Notamacropus eugenii: one gene and its partners. The protein of the gene in region 1 interacts with the protein of each later gene in a pairwise test. Links are inferred from orthologs where the notes say so. Each region holds a gene or a part of one and is shown in the gene's direction. Other genes may lie near its edges.

Region 1 (3,747 bases):
GGGTACCCTTGACAGGTAAAAGTCAAACCTGATTGGTGAATAACTAATAAGGGGGTGGGGTTTTCAAATGAGGAGGTGGGGCAAAAGCCTTCAGCTCCTCTTGCTGAGAAAGAGGTTTGATCTCGAGACTCCGCTGCCTCCAGCCATCTGACAAAGGAAACCATCTCTATCTACCCAGACGTCTCAGGTTGGTTTTCACTTTCATGACCTGGATTACGCCAGACTTCAATGGAGAGGTACACGACCTGGGGCTTAATGCCTGGAGGCTGGAATTCACCTCCCTTAGATTCTGTTTACATTTTAAACAGAAATAAAGTCTCCTAGTTGGGTGGGTTCCCTCCCAAGAACAAAGCTTACTTTACTAGAGAATTATGCCCTTCTGAGACTGACTTGGAGGGGCTGTTCTCTGAATGAGAAAATAGAAAAAGCCTTCATCCTAATTTAATAATTGGTTATCAATATAATAGAAAATAATAATTTCTCTCCCTGGTTGTTAAGGCCCTGAAGGGAAAGGCCCACATGCTCTACCTAGTAAATTCCGTATTGACCAGGTTGACATCTAAGATAAGATATTTTTTCCTTTTTGTTTTCTTTATTGCCTTCGCATTGGGCAAGGCCATGGTGAGTACCAAGACCAGACTTGGGGGTTGGGTTTTTAACAAGCAGAACCTCTACAAACATTGGTTCATGTTTATTGGATCTGCGTAACTCCATGTTTGGGGACGACTGTCATTTCTACCTGCGTGTGTAGGAATGTAAAAAATCTTTGTCATTGACTGTCTTACAAAGATGTTTTCGTGTATGGGACTAGAGAAGTAAGCCAAGCTTATGCCGGGGTCGCAGTATGAACGATGAATTAAAAATGCATCTATGATGGGCTTAGAATGCTCCCCTCTAGGCGCTCAAAAATTATTTTTGTACACACGTATGTATGTGGTGAAAAGTTTACAGGCCTCAAAACTGTGGAAGCACCTAAAGAGGGGGCACCTTAAGGTTGGCTTCTTTTGCGTCCCCCACGCGACCCACCGTGCTGGGGCCAGGCTTTTAATACCTGACACACACACTTCTCGTTACTTTATAAGGAAACTGGGATGCTAGATTCCAACGAAGCCAAGGTGGGTTCCGCCAGCCCCGAGCGGGCCGGGAGGGTAGGGAGAAATCCCTCTACAAAGAGGCTCTTTTGGGGGGCTTGGTTTCCTGGCAACTCTCCCACCTCCGGGCCTTCCTTTTCCTTGCAGTGTACTTCCGCTTCCGCCTCCCTTCCTTTTGTCTCTCCCTTTCCCTCTTCCTCCTCCCATCCTCAGGGGCCGAGCCCCGAGGCCACGCCTGCCCCATGCTGCCGGGGGGTGGGGGTGGGGTCAGACGGGAGGGAAATCGGCGCGTAGAGGGGCACTCGCAGGGCGAGATAAGGGACTGAGGGTCGGTTTGGCGACTGAGGACGCGGCGCCCGGACGCCGAGGGGGGCCCCGCCCTGCGTCGGGGAGCGCGGCGTTGCCCTGGGTTGCCCGCCCACTCGTGACGCCATAGTTCAGTTTTCACTTTCTTTTTTTTCTCGCTCCCGGTCTGGAAGGTTTCACTTCCGGTTGCTCAGTGGCGCCCAAGCCAACCCTCCCAAAGGCGGTCGACATGTTTCCTTTGGCTAGGTAGAAGAAAGGGTTTGCCTTCTTCTTCCCTCTCCAGAACGAGGGATCCTCTAGAACCGTCTCCTGGCCACCCCCTCCCCCCACTCTTAGGGCCGACTTGGCATAGACTCCTTTTTGGAATCTTCAGTCCTCCGGACTGCGGGGATCGCTCGGCAGCCACGACTCAGCCCAGGTGCTGAAACTCCCCAGCTCCTCTGGCTTCTCGCCGCCCCACCCCCACCTTCCGCTCCGGGCGCCCTTGGACAGAGGACGCGAGGGGAGTAAGGGCCCGCGGGGTTAGTGCTGCTGGGGCCGGGCCCAGCGCCGAGGGGAGACGCGTGCGGGAAGCGAGGCCCATGAAGCCTTAGGAACAAAAGCGAAGACTCGGAGCAAACGGAGAGCCGCGTGGAGCTCCTGGTTTCTGTGGAGATGAAAGCCATCCTCTAGTGGAGAGAAAGCTCCTTCAGCCACGAGACCCGGCGTGCGCATGTTAGGAAGGAAGTAATGAAACCTAACAGCCCGAGAGAGGAAATGAACAATGACCTGGAGACTATGGGGACCTCGGCAGTGGCAGTAACAGCACCTGAGACAGGTGAGAACCCGAGCAGGTGTGGGTGCCGCTGAGTGCCCCGTATGTCAGGTGGAGGAGAGGTCCCAGGGTGCGAAGAGGCTGGACGGAGGAGAAACCTGCCTGCCGACGCCGGACGGGGGCTCTTCTCGTTGGTGGTTGGGGGGTTTTGTGGATTAAAGAGAACTCAGGACAGGTTTTGTGTTACCGTGTGCTGCCTAGGTTAACCTGCCCGGCCCTTTCAGAGGAGTGGCTTTGGTTTGGTTTCTTTGTGATTGGATTGTTACGGAGGGAAAACGTGGTTCCTTGAGAAGAGCAAAACAGATGGAAGGTTTGGGTATGGGCTCAAGTCCGGCCTTCTCGTGTGACCTTGGCCAAGTCCTGTAACCCCTTTGGGCCTCCGTTTTCTCATCTGTAAATTGAGTTCGGATTAAATGGCCTCTAAAGGCCCCTTCAACTTTAAGTCTTAGGATGAGCGTTGAACTTATGATTGTAAACCATTCTGAATCAGAGGCTGGTTTTGGTTTTTTTTTTTTGCTTTTCACAAGATACAGGATGAGACTTGGTCTTACACCTGTGTAACTTAATTATTTGGATTGTTTTCGAAGGTTGCAGAGGGAAAAAAGGTCAGTAGTAGTGTCAGATGACAAGATTAGGCAGGATGACAACATTTGCCCGTTATCTTACATATTCACTTTAACTCAGCCAACACACTAGGGAGCCAACGGAAAGCATCATGCATTATTCAATGTTAACCAACTTGATGACCTCACAACAGGTAGGTGCTGTTTTACAGTTGAGGTTACTCTCATTTTACAGATTTGGAAACTGATTCTTGGAGAGGTTAAATGACTATGCCTAGGGTAATTTATCTAGTAAGGGTTTGGATTCTGTATTTGAACTAGGGTCTTCCCAATTCCAGGCCCAGCACTAGGTGTGGCCCTGCTGCCTTTAAGCACCTGGCGGTGGGGCAAGGCGGTAGAAAAGTCAGATGAATACATCCTTGCTCTTGTGGAGGAGTGTGTGAGGTATAGCTTCCTTTTAATCATTTCATCTTAGTAAATGAGAGAGACTTTGATAATGAGCTTCCTCCAATTCAGGATGCTCTGCATCCTGTAAGTATTGCAAGATATACTTAGTGACCATTCCTATCATTAAACTTAAAAGGGAGTATGAATTTTGTTTTGGTTTTTGATCGTTTATGTAGAGCAAACATTTCCTTTTGGGATTGGCATTTCATAGTTTTTTATCTGGAGAGCCTGGAACAGAGCTTCGTTTTATTTCTTAAGCATAATTTTCTAAAGGAGGATTAGAAGGAAAAAGTTCTTTATCAGTAGAAATAACATGGATATTTCATAGATACATGAATATCTGAGTATATGAAATAATATGGATATTTCATAGATTTTCCACAATGACTACATTTTGCTAATTTAAAAAATAACTTAATTTGACTACCATTTTTTTGATATGTAGAAACACATTTTTTGTAAATTATATATGGTAAACTTACAGAGGCAGGTCATTCTTCTCCCTTCTCCCCATTCCTTCCTTCCT
Region 2 (3,747 bases), on another chromosome or scaffold:
TATCTTCTCAGCATGCTCAAGGCCTGAAAAATAAACTTTACATTTGCCTAAATATTACGGTATAAGAAAAAATGTTTCGAAAACAAATGTTTCCAAATCTACTTTTTAAATACCAGCATCTCGATCCCTTTCCCATTAGGAGCACACTTAAAATAAAAGTTCTATTTCTGAGATTTTTTTCAGAAACATAGTTGAGAAAAGCTACAAAAATCAAGCTGGCATTGTTTTTCAAAGCAACGACACAAACTGATTTTAACTAGAATCAATCCAATTACCATTTAAAAAGAATCAAACCAATGATCAATTTAAAAGTTTCTTGGTGATAGTTTTATGTTAGTTAGGGATTTGGGAGTAGGAAGGTTTCATGTTAAACTCTTCTGGTATTTTAAGTTAGTCCAGCAAGGGAAAAGGCCTCTGGTTCTGCTGGTTTGGGGATCTGCCCGTACCAATTCTGCTTTACACCAGCTATCTTGAAAACTGAGAGAGAATTGAGAACGTCTTACCTCGGAGAAATTAACAGCCAAGGGGATGATTCCAGCCACGTAACATCCTACCAGCATGGCCAGCGACAGAAGACTAATGGAGAGGAAATCATCCATTTTCTTGTCCTTTCGTTACCCCAAAGGACATCCAACTACTGTTCCCCCCTCCCACCCGGGGTTTCAGAGGGTGCTTAGTTATTTAGACACGTTCGTGGCTCCCGAAGAGCAGGCTTGGGGAGTATCAGCTGCTCCGGTCAGGTCTTTCGGGCTCCAGCCGACAGCAGGTTTACGTTAGTCACTTCTTCCTTGTCTACCAGGGAGAACTGCTGCTTCCTGGTAACAGGACCAGCGAGGGCTTTGGGGGGCCTTATCCCCAGATGACAAGAGCACAAGATTTCTGCTGTTACCAAGGGGAGAAGTCCATGGGGGGGAATGATGCTGTGTGAGACTACTGGCAATCGTAAAGTCACGGCCCTAAAGCTGCGGGACACGGAATGGGGGGCGGGGGATACACTGCCTCAAGAGGCAGGGGAGGCGAGCGAGCCTGTCCCCTGAGTCCGCCCGTCAGTGACCTCCCCCTGTCACCCCCAGGGCCCAGAGCAGCCCACCAGCACCGGCCCACTCTCTTCCGTGTCTAGAGGGCTGAGGAACGGAGGCCGCAGTTCTCTAACGGGAACCTCGGGGGAGGATTCAGCAGAAGCGTGTACAGTGCTCAGTCTCTGGCCTATACCCAGGGGTCCCCCTAGCTGCCCGGCCTCGGCCCGGAGCCTCCCCAGCCGCCGCCATCGCAGCCATTGCCGCCAAGTGGCACCTCCTCCACACATCCACTTCCGGATCTCGGCATTGCCCTCCCCGCCCCCTCCTCCTCCTCTGAAACGTTGCTTCCGGGTCACAACCGTCCTCTCCCAGACACAACCTACTTTTGGTTCTCTTCGACCCAGCCAGCCGCCATCTTTGAGTTGGGCTTGCGGGACTGGATCTCTGTCGCTCCGTGAGCAGCTGATCCCCTGGAATGGGTGTCTGATCATAGGAGCCTAATATTCAGCGTCGTGGAGAGAACAGGATCCGCACCGAAGCCGAAAGCTCCCCGGTAGTCTTTCCCCCCTCATCAAAGATGGCCAGCCAGGCGTCAACGGCTCCTTTGAAGGTATGGGTCTCTGGTCTCCTGGGGGGGGGTGCTCTCGCGTTGCGCCGCCGACTTCCGGTGGCTCTTCTCGCGGGGATTGGCTGTTAGCGGGGTTGCGGCTCAGCTCGTGTGCAGTGGCTGTGGCGGCGGCAGCGGCGGAGCTCCGGACGATGGTGAGAGAGGCCCCGGCGGCTGTCCCCTACCCCAGATAATAACCCTAGGCTGGGAGGGCCGAACCGGAGCTTCCCCTGACCCTTGTGATTCCGCCCTTCTCCCGTCTCCGGGGACTGGGCCCGGCCCCCCGGTGTCCGCATTGTGGCTGACTGACCCCCCCACCCTTCCACCCCTCGCGGTTCACACGCCCGCGGGGACGGCTCGGAATCCCCCTTCCGCAACGTGGGCGACCTCGAGAGCCTGTAGCTGCCCGCCAGAGGCGAGCGCGCTCCGGTCCCGGGGGAGCTGGGCGAGGCCGCGGAGGGCACCCGCTCCAATCCGGCAGGCTCCGGAGGGTGCTGGGGATGAGTCTGCTGCCCACCCCACCCCCACCCCGACCCCGAGGCGACGTCGACTGCTCAGCCTGTTTTCCCTCCAAAATCTGCCGTCTTATGAGTAATGGCATGTGTTTATGGAGAGCAGCCACGGAGCTGCCCTTGGAGTTGGGGGGTGCCCCTTCCACGCGTGGGGGCCGCGGCTCTCTCGTCTACTTCTGAACTGTGTGAATGCTTGTTTTCCTTAGGGCTGTACTTTCCTTCTACTCCCCCTTCCCCCTTTCTGTATTCCCGCTCTTCATATTTTATTACCCGTGCCTTCCCCAAGTGAGGGTTGGATGTAGAACTTAAGAGTTTGCGAATCAAGTGAGCTTCTGTTTGTAAGAGTCTCTTACTCTGCATCAGTTTTAAATTGTAGAGGATCTGTGTGTATAAAGGAATCCTGTACGCATGGTGCCTGCAAATAGGCGGTTATTGAGTCCTTGCGAGGTTGGAGCGAAAAGAATAACTTGGACCGTGGATAATATGTCTTTCTGGGAAATATTTTCAGTGCTTCACACTTTTATTGATCATTTTAAATATCTCTTGTGTTAATAGAGCAAACTAATTCAAAAGGTGCCCCTGACAACAACTTGCTCCTGTCACGCACATTGGAGTCATCTGCTGTTTTTTAGTCTGATTAGAATTTAAAATGGCAATCAGAGAAATTCAATTAGCTTTCTTGTGAAAAACATTTGCTTTCGCATTTCATGACTAGATTAAGTAATCTTGATTTGTTTTTAAAGAATTTTGAGATGCCTTTTAAAGGGAAATATAGGTCTTTTAATTGTTCAACGGCATAAACTACTATGGTATTATATAAACATTTCAAGAGCACCTACTCTGACAGGCACTCTGCATGGGGTGTCAGAATGGGGTACGGCTCTGGATTCAGACTTGAGCCTAGAGGCTTGCTTGTTTAGCAGTCAGGTGGTAATGTTCAAAACTGCATTTTAAAGACATTGGAGAAATGCACAACGTTATTGTGAGGTCCTTTTACCACCGTTAGTTTCAGGAGGACGATGGAGTTGGATTTTAAGGGAGGTAGAAATTGAAGAAACATTTGGAGACAAAATGTTGTCTTAGAATTTGTCATATTAGATTATATTTGGGGAGGTTGAAAAATTGAAGTACCAATGCTAGAATGAATAAGATTACCTAGAATTGTAGATTTTTTGAGGGAGGGGAGATAATTCAGAGTGAAAATGAGTTTCCTAAATTCTACTTAGGTAGCCATATGTTTCCTCATATTTGGTATTAGCATGGTTTTTTACTGTAATTCGTGGTAAAAAGAATTGCTGCTTTGTGTTAAAAGTCCAAAAAAAATTCATGAGGAATGCTTTAGAACAAATTTGGCTAATAGAAGGAATATAAAATATAACTGGGTTGACTATAAAATGAAGAACCTCCAGAAAGCTCTGCAGACAGCGCTGGTATGAGGAAAGAGTATAGTTAAAAAATGCTTTTAGTATCTTATGATAGAAAAAGAAAAATCTTTATTATAAAAATAACAAGTCTGTATTATTTATCCCTTAAATCTATTCAGACCGGTTAAGTTCCATTATGCATTTAGAATTGGATAAACCAATAGTCTTTAAGCCTCTAAGCAAAA
Region 3 (3,747 bases), on another chromosome or scaffold:
ACACCCTCGTGCAAGTTACTAGCTGACTCACTTCAGAGAATTGCTGGTGCGTGGGGAGGTTCCGAGGGGGTTATGGAAACCCCCTTGCTCACAGCATCATAGAACTTTATCGACCTTTCCTCCCGAAGGACCATAAAGAGTACGAAGGGAGGCCAGAGGACTGGGAGGGATGTTAGCACGTGGAGGGCTGCAGCGGGAAGGGCCCTTCAGTACGGTCCAAATGGCTCCTCTTTACCCTGGACTTAAAACTTCACCTTCCTCACGATCACCCCTGAGCTCATTACCCCCCTTTTAGAGGTCGAGAAGGGGGCTCCACGGAGGCTGGGGGACCTGGGAGCCCAGCTATTCGCAGAGTCGCATTTCCACAGTTCCCAGATCAGGTCACCGGGGCCCCTCCGGGACAACGGAAGGGACCGGCTCAAGGTCGCTGACCTCCCCGGCCGGACAGGCGGACAGGCTCTCGGCCAGAAAAGGATGCAAGGTGGGGCCCCGCTGGAGGCGGAAGGCGGAGCGGAGGGGACAAAGGGCGGCCCGGGGGACCGCCCGGGGAGGGCGGGGCTCGCTTCCCGCCCCCTCGCAGTCCCCGTGGGCCCCGGGACCGCGCTCCCGGGAGGCCTGCGTGGCAGACAGCGCGCGGAGGGGCAGGCGCGGCCCCGGAGGGGAGGCGGGGGCGCGCGTGCGCGGCCCCGGCGGCGGCGGCGGAGTTGGTGGTGGCGGCCGCGCGGAGAAGTTGCGTCCGGGACTCGGGGGCTCCGGCTGCGCCGCGCTTCGCCCCGAGGAGCCGGTAAGGCCCCGGGGGGCTGGGGGAGACTGGCCGGGGCAGAGTGGGGAGGGGCGGTCCTTGGGGTCCTTGGGGGCCGGGCCGGGAGCTGGGGCGGAGGAGGGGAAGCCTCAGGCTTGGGGCAACCGGAGAGCCCCGCGCCCCCTCCCCCCCGGGCTCAGCGCCTGGGACCCCCTCCCCCAAGGGCCCCTCCTCTGAGCTCCCCCTTCCCCATAGCACCCCGAGCCTGGGCGGTCAGCGCCCCCGGGGGCAGAGGGGGGGCTGAACTTGAACTTGGCTGGAGCCTGGGTGTTGTGCGTGTCCGGGTCGGTTGGTGCACGGTCGTGGCGGTGCGTTGGTGGGTCTGTCTGTCTGTCAGTATGTGTCCGTCGGTTGGCGTGCCGTCCCTCTGGGTGTCCGTGTCTCAGTGTGCCTGTCCCTGTCCGGGTCTCCGCGTCCGTGTGTCGCCCCCTCCCTCCGTCCAGGCGGGAAGGGGCTTGGCCCGTGGCCAGCCTCCCTCGGTGCCTGCAGCTCCCAGCTGCTCCGGGCCGAGCAGAGTCCAAGATTCCTCTTCCTGTGCACAGCCCCATTGCTGCGTGCTGGATGGGGGGAGGCTCCCAGAAACAGAAGTCGGGGCTGGGCTTTTGTTTTCCTCCGCAAAGGAGAGGGTAACAGTGAAAAGTCAACTTTGGAGGGGACTGTGGGTCGTGGAGGGAGGGACACGCAGCCCAACGCTACTTACAGACCCATACTACGTTCGGATTCACGCAGGTAGATGTTTGTAATAGGTGGGTCTGTTTTCTCTGGGGCTTTAATGCAATGTGCCTTCCTCACCACAAGTCTGTGAGGTGGGTAGGGCCGGCGTTATTATTCCCATTTTACGGATGTGGAACATTTGATTCAGAGAATTGAAGTATTTTATTCGTTGTCACAACACATCTAGTAGGTGTCAGAGCTAGGATTTGAACCCATGGCTCTTGTCTCCAAGTATATGTCATGATGGTGAATGGGAAGAGACACATTGAGACAGACACAAATAAAGGCACTGGGACATAGAGACGTAGATCAGTTTATGTATGCTCGTGTACCTACCTGTTTCCCTCCCATCTCAATTGACAGTCATCACGTGGGGCCTAGTAGATCTCTTTTCCTTGCCCCTTTGTTGGACACCTCAGGTTCCGGGAAAGGAGACCGTCTCTCCCTGGGTCTTCTTTATTTGGATGGGACTTCAGTCTGACATGTACATAAGCTTCTCTGATCTGCATTTGTATGGTCTGTAAAATAGGTACACACTGCCTGCTAACAGAGCTGTTAGGAAAGTGATTTGTAAACTGCTTTGCTATAGAAATGTGAATTGCCTTAGAATATAGAATATCAGAATTGGAAGGAAATTCAGTAGTCATCTAGTCCAACCAGCTCCCTCTTTTAACAAGATCATACAGTTGGTAAGTGGCTGAGCCAGGACTTGAACCCAGATCTTCTGGCTCCAATCTAGGGCTCTTTTCATTACACAAGAATGCATTACTTGTAGATAGAGCCAGAAAAACTATAACACTTTTCTGTAAGTTAATTGTCCCAACTTTTGGGAAGCTGCACCCATAGTATTGCTTAGGGTTCAAGTCCTAACGCTGTCACTTAACTGACTTTGTTACCTTGGGCAAGTCACTTTGGACACCCGAGTCTTCATCTGTAAAATGGGGAATTAGAATCCTTCTACTAGGTCCCTCATAGCGATGTGAGGATCAAATGAGATAACAGATTAGAAACTCTTCAGAGTGCTGTAGAATTGTCCCCTTCGTTTGGTGGTGGAACCTCCAGAAGGTTGGCCAGCAGGTGATGATGTATTTTGATTCCAACAAGTTTTGAAGTCTATTTCTGAGGGGTAGAAATGTTGGAACTCTATTAGCTGAGGAAGTGCCCACACTGATGAAATCATGGGGCCTCAAATTGTTGAAGTTATATCGTTATTACTCACAGATCTCTTGGTGATTTTGAGATGACCTGTTGTCTGGTTTGCCTGTGTTTTTGTATAGTGGAATGTTTCAGCTTCCTTTAAAAATGAAAAACAACAAAATTGACCTCTTCCAGAATTGGGAATAGGGTCAGAAGGAATGAGAGGCAGAGGGCTTGGTGTGAGAGGGAGGAATGTTTTACGTATGCAAATGTGATACTTGAATTAAAAAACAAATGGGATTGTCTTATAGGGCCACAGTATGCTGAGATGGATGACTGTGGCTTCTTTAAAAAATATTTTCCCAAATGGAAGAATTGTTGTTATAGAGCAACTGTAGTTAGGAAAAGAGGATGAGTGAGGAGTTCTAACTCTGGCTTTGTAACTGTCTGTGTGACCTTGGGTGAGTCAATTCCCCTTTCCAAGGCCTGACTTATCTTTTCTGAAGAATGGGATAATAGGTAGCTTCTAAGGTACCAGCTCTCAGTTCTGGGATCCTCAGGTGGGGAAGAACACATGTGGTCCTGGCTAATTAAGGAAACTGAGGATATGCAGTTCATCCCCTGGTACAACTGGCTATAAGCATGGGGAGAAAGAGACTTGGATTTGTAGTCAGTGTGCTTGGGTTTGCTACTTAATACTGTTGTGACCTTGAACGCAATATAGTATTGTATACCACTTCTCAACCGTCTTGGTCTCAGGACCCCTTTGCACTCTTAAGAATTACTGATGACCACACCTACCTCCACAGAGCTTTTGTGTGGTTTATAGCTATAGATATTTACCATATTAGAAATTGAAACATTTTGGTATTATGAAAATAATTTTGATCTTGTGGACCCCCTGAAAGAGTCTCAGAGGCTCCCAGAGGACAAACCACTGGACTGTAGTAGATAGGGCACTGGAATGAGTCAGGATGAGTTGGATTCAATTGTTACCTCAGGTACTTACTAGCTGTGTGATTCTGGGCATATCACTTAACTTTTCTGTGACTTCGTTTCTTCATCTCTAAAACAAATGACCAGAAGTTTATGAT

Evidence for each region.
Region 2: the proteins of TASOR2 (region 1) and ERH interact in binary tests that used the Homo sapiens proteins (3 or more experiments, as listed by UniProt). The two-hybrid records come from large-scale screens. The link is inferred for Notamacropus eugenii from reciprocal best matches to the Homo sapiens genes TASOR2 and ERH.
Region 3: the proteins of TASOR2 (region 1) and NEK6 interact in binary tests that used the Homo sapiens proteins (3 or more experiments, as listed by UniProt). The link is inferred for Notamacropus eugenii from reciprocal best matches to the Homo sapiens genes TASOR2 and NEK6.

The regions. Positions count from the first base shown.
Region 1 is NC_092874.1:209,473,154-209,476,900, forward strand, and holds the start of TASOR2 (protein TASOR 2), read left to right. Parts: upstream 1-1,475; 5' UTR 1,476-2,126; coding exon 2,127-2,214; intron 2,215-3,747.
Region 2 is NC_092872.1:310,048,719-310,052,465, forward strand, and holds the start of ERH (enhancer of rudimentary homolog), read left to right. Parts: upstream 1-1,510; 5' UTR 1,511-1,596; coding exon 1,597-1,629; intron 1,630-1,649; exon of another isoform or gene 1,650-1,778; coding exon of another isoform or gene 1,779-1,781; intron 1,782-1,994; exon of another isoform or gene 1,995-2,223; intron 2,224-3,747. Other genes in the region: SLC39A9 (zinc transporter ZIP9), read right to left, coding at 1,403-1,510. UniProt on the Homo sapiens protein: May have a role in the cell cycle.
Region 3 is NC_092872.1:446,227,221-446,230,967, forward strand, and holds the start of NEK6 (serine/threonine-protein kinase Nek6), read left to right. Parts: upstream 1-1,125; 5' UTR 1,126-1,140; coding exon 1,141-1,531; intron 1,532-3,747. UniProt on the Homo sapiens protein: Protein kinase which plays an important role in mitotic cell cycle progression. Required for chromosome segregation at metaphase-anaphase transition, robust mitotic spindle formation and cytokinesis.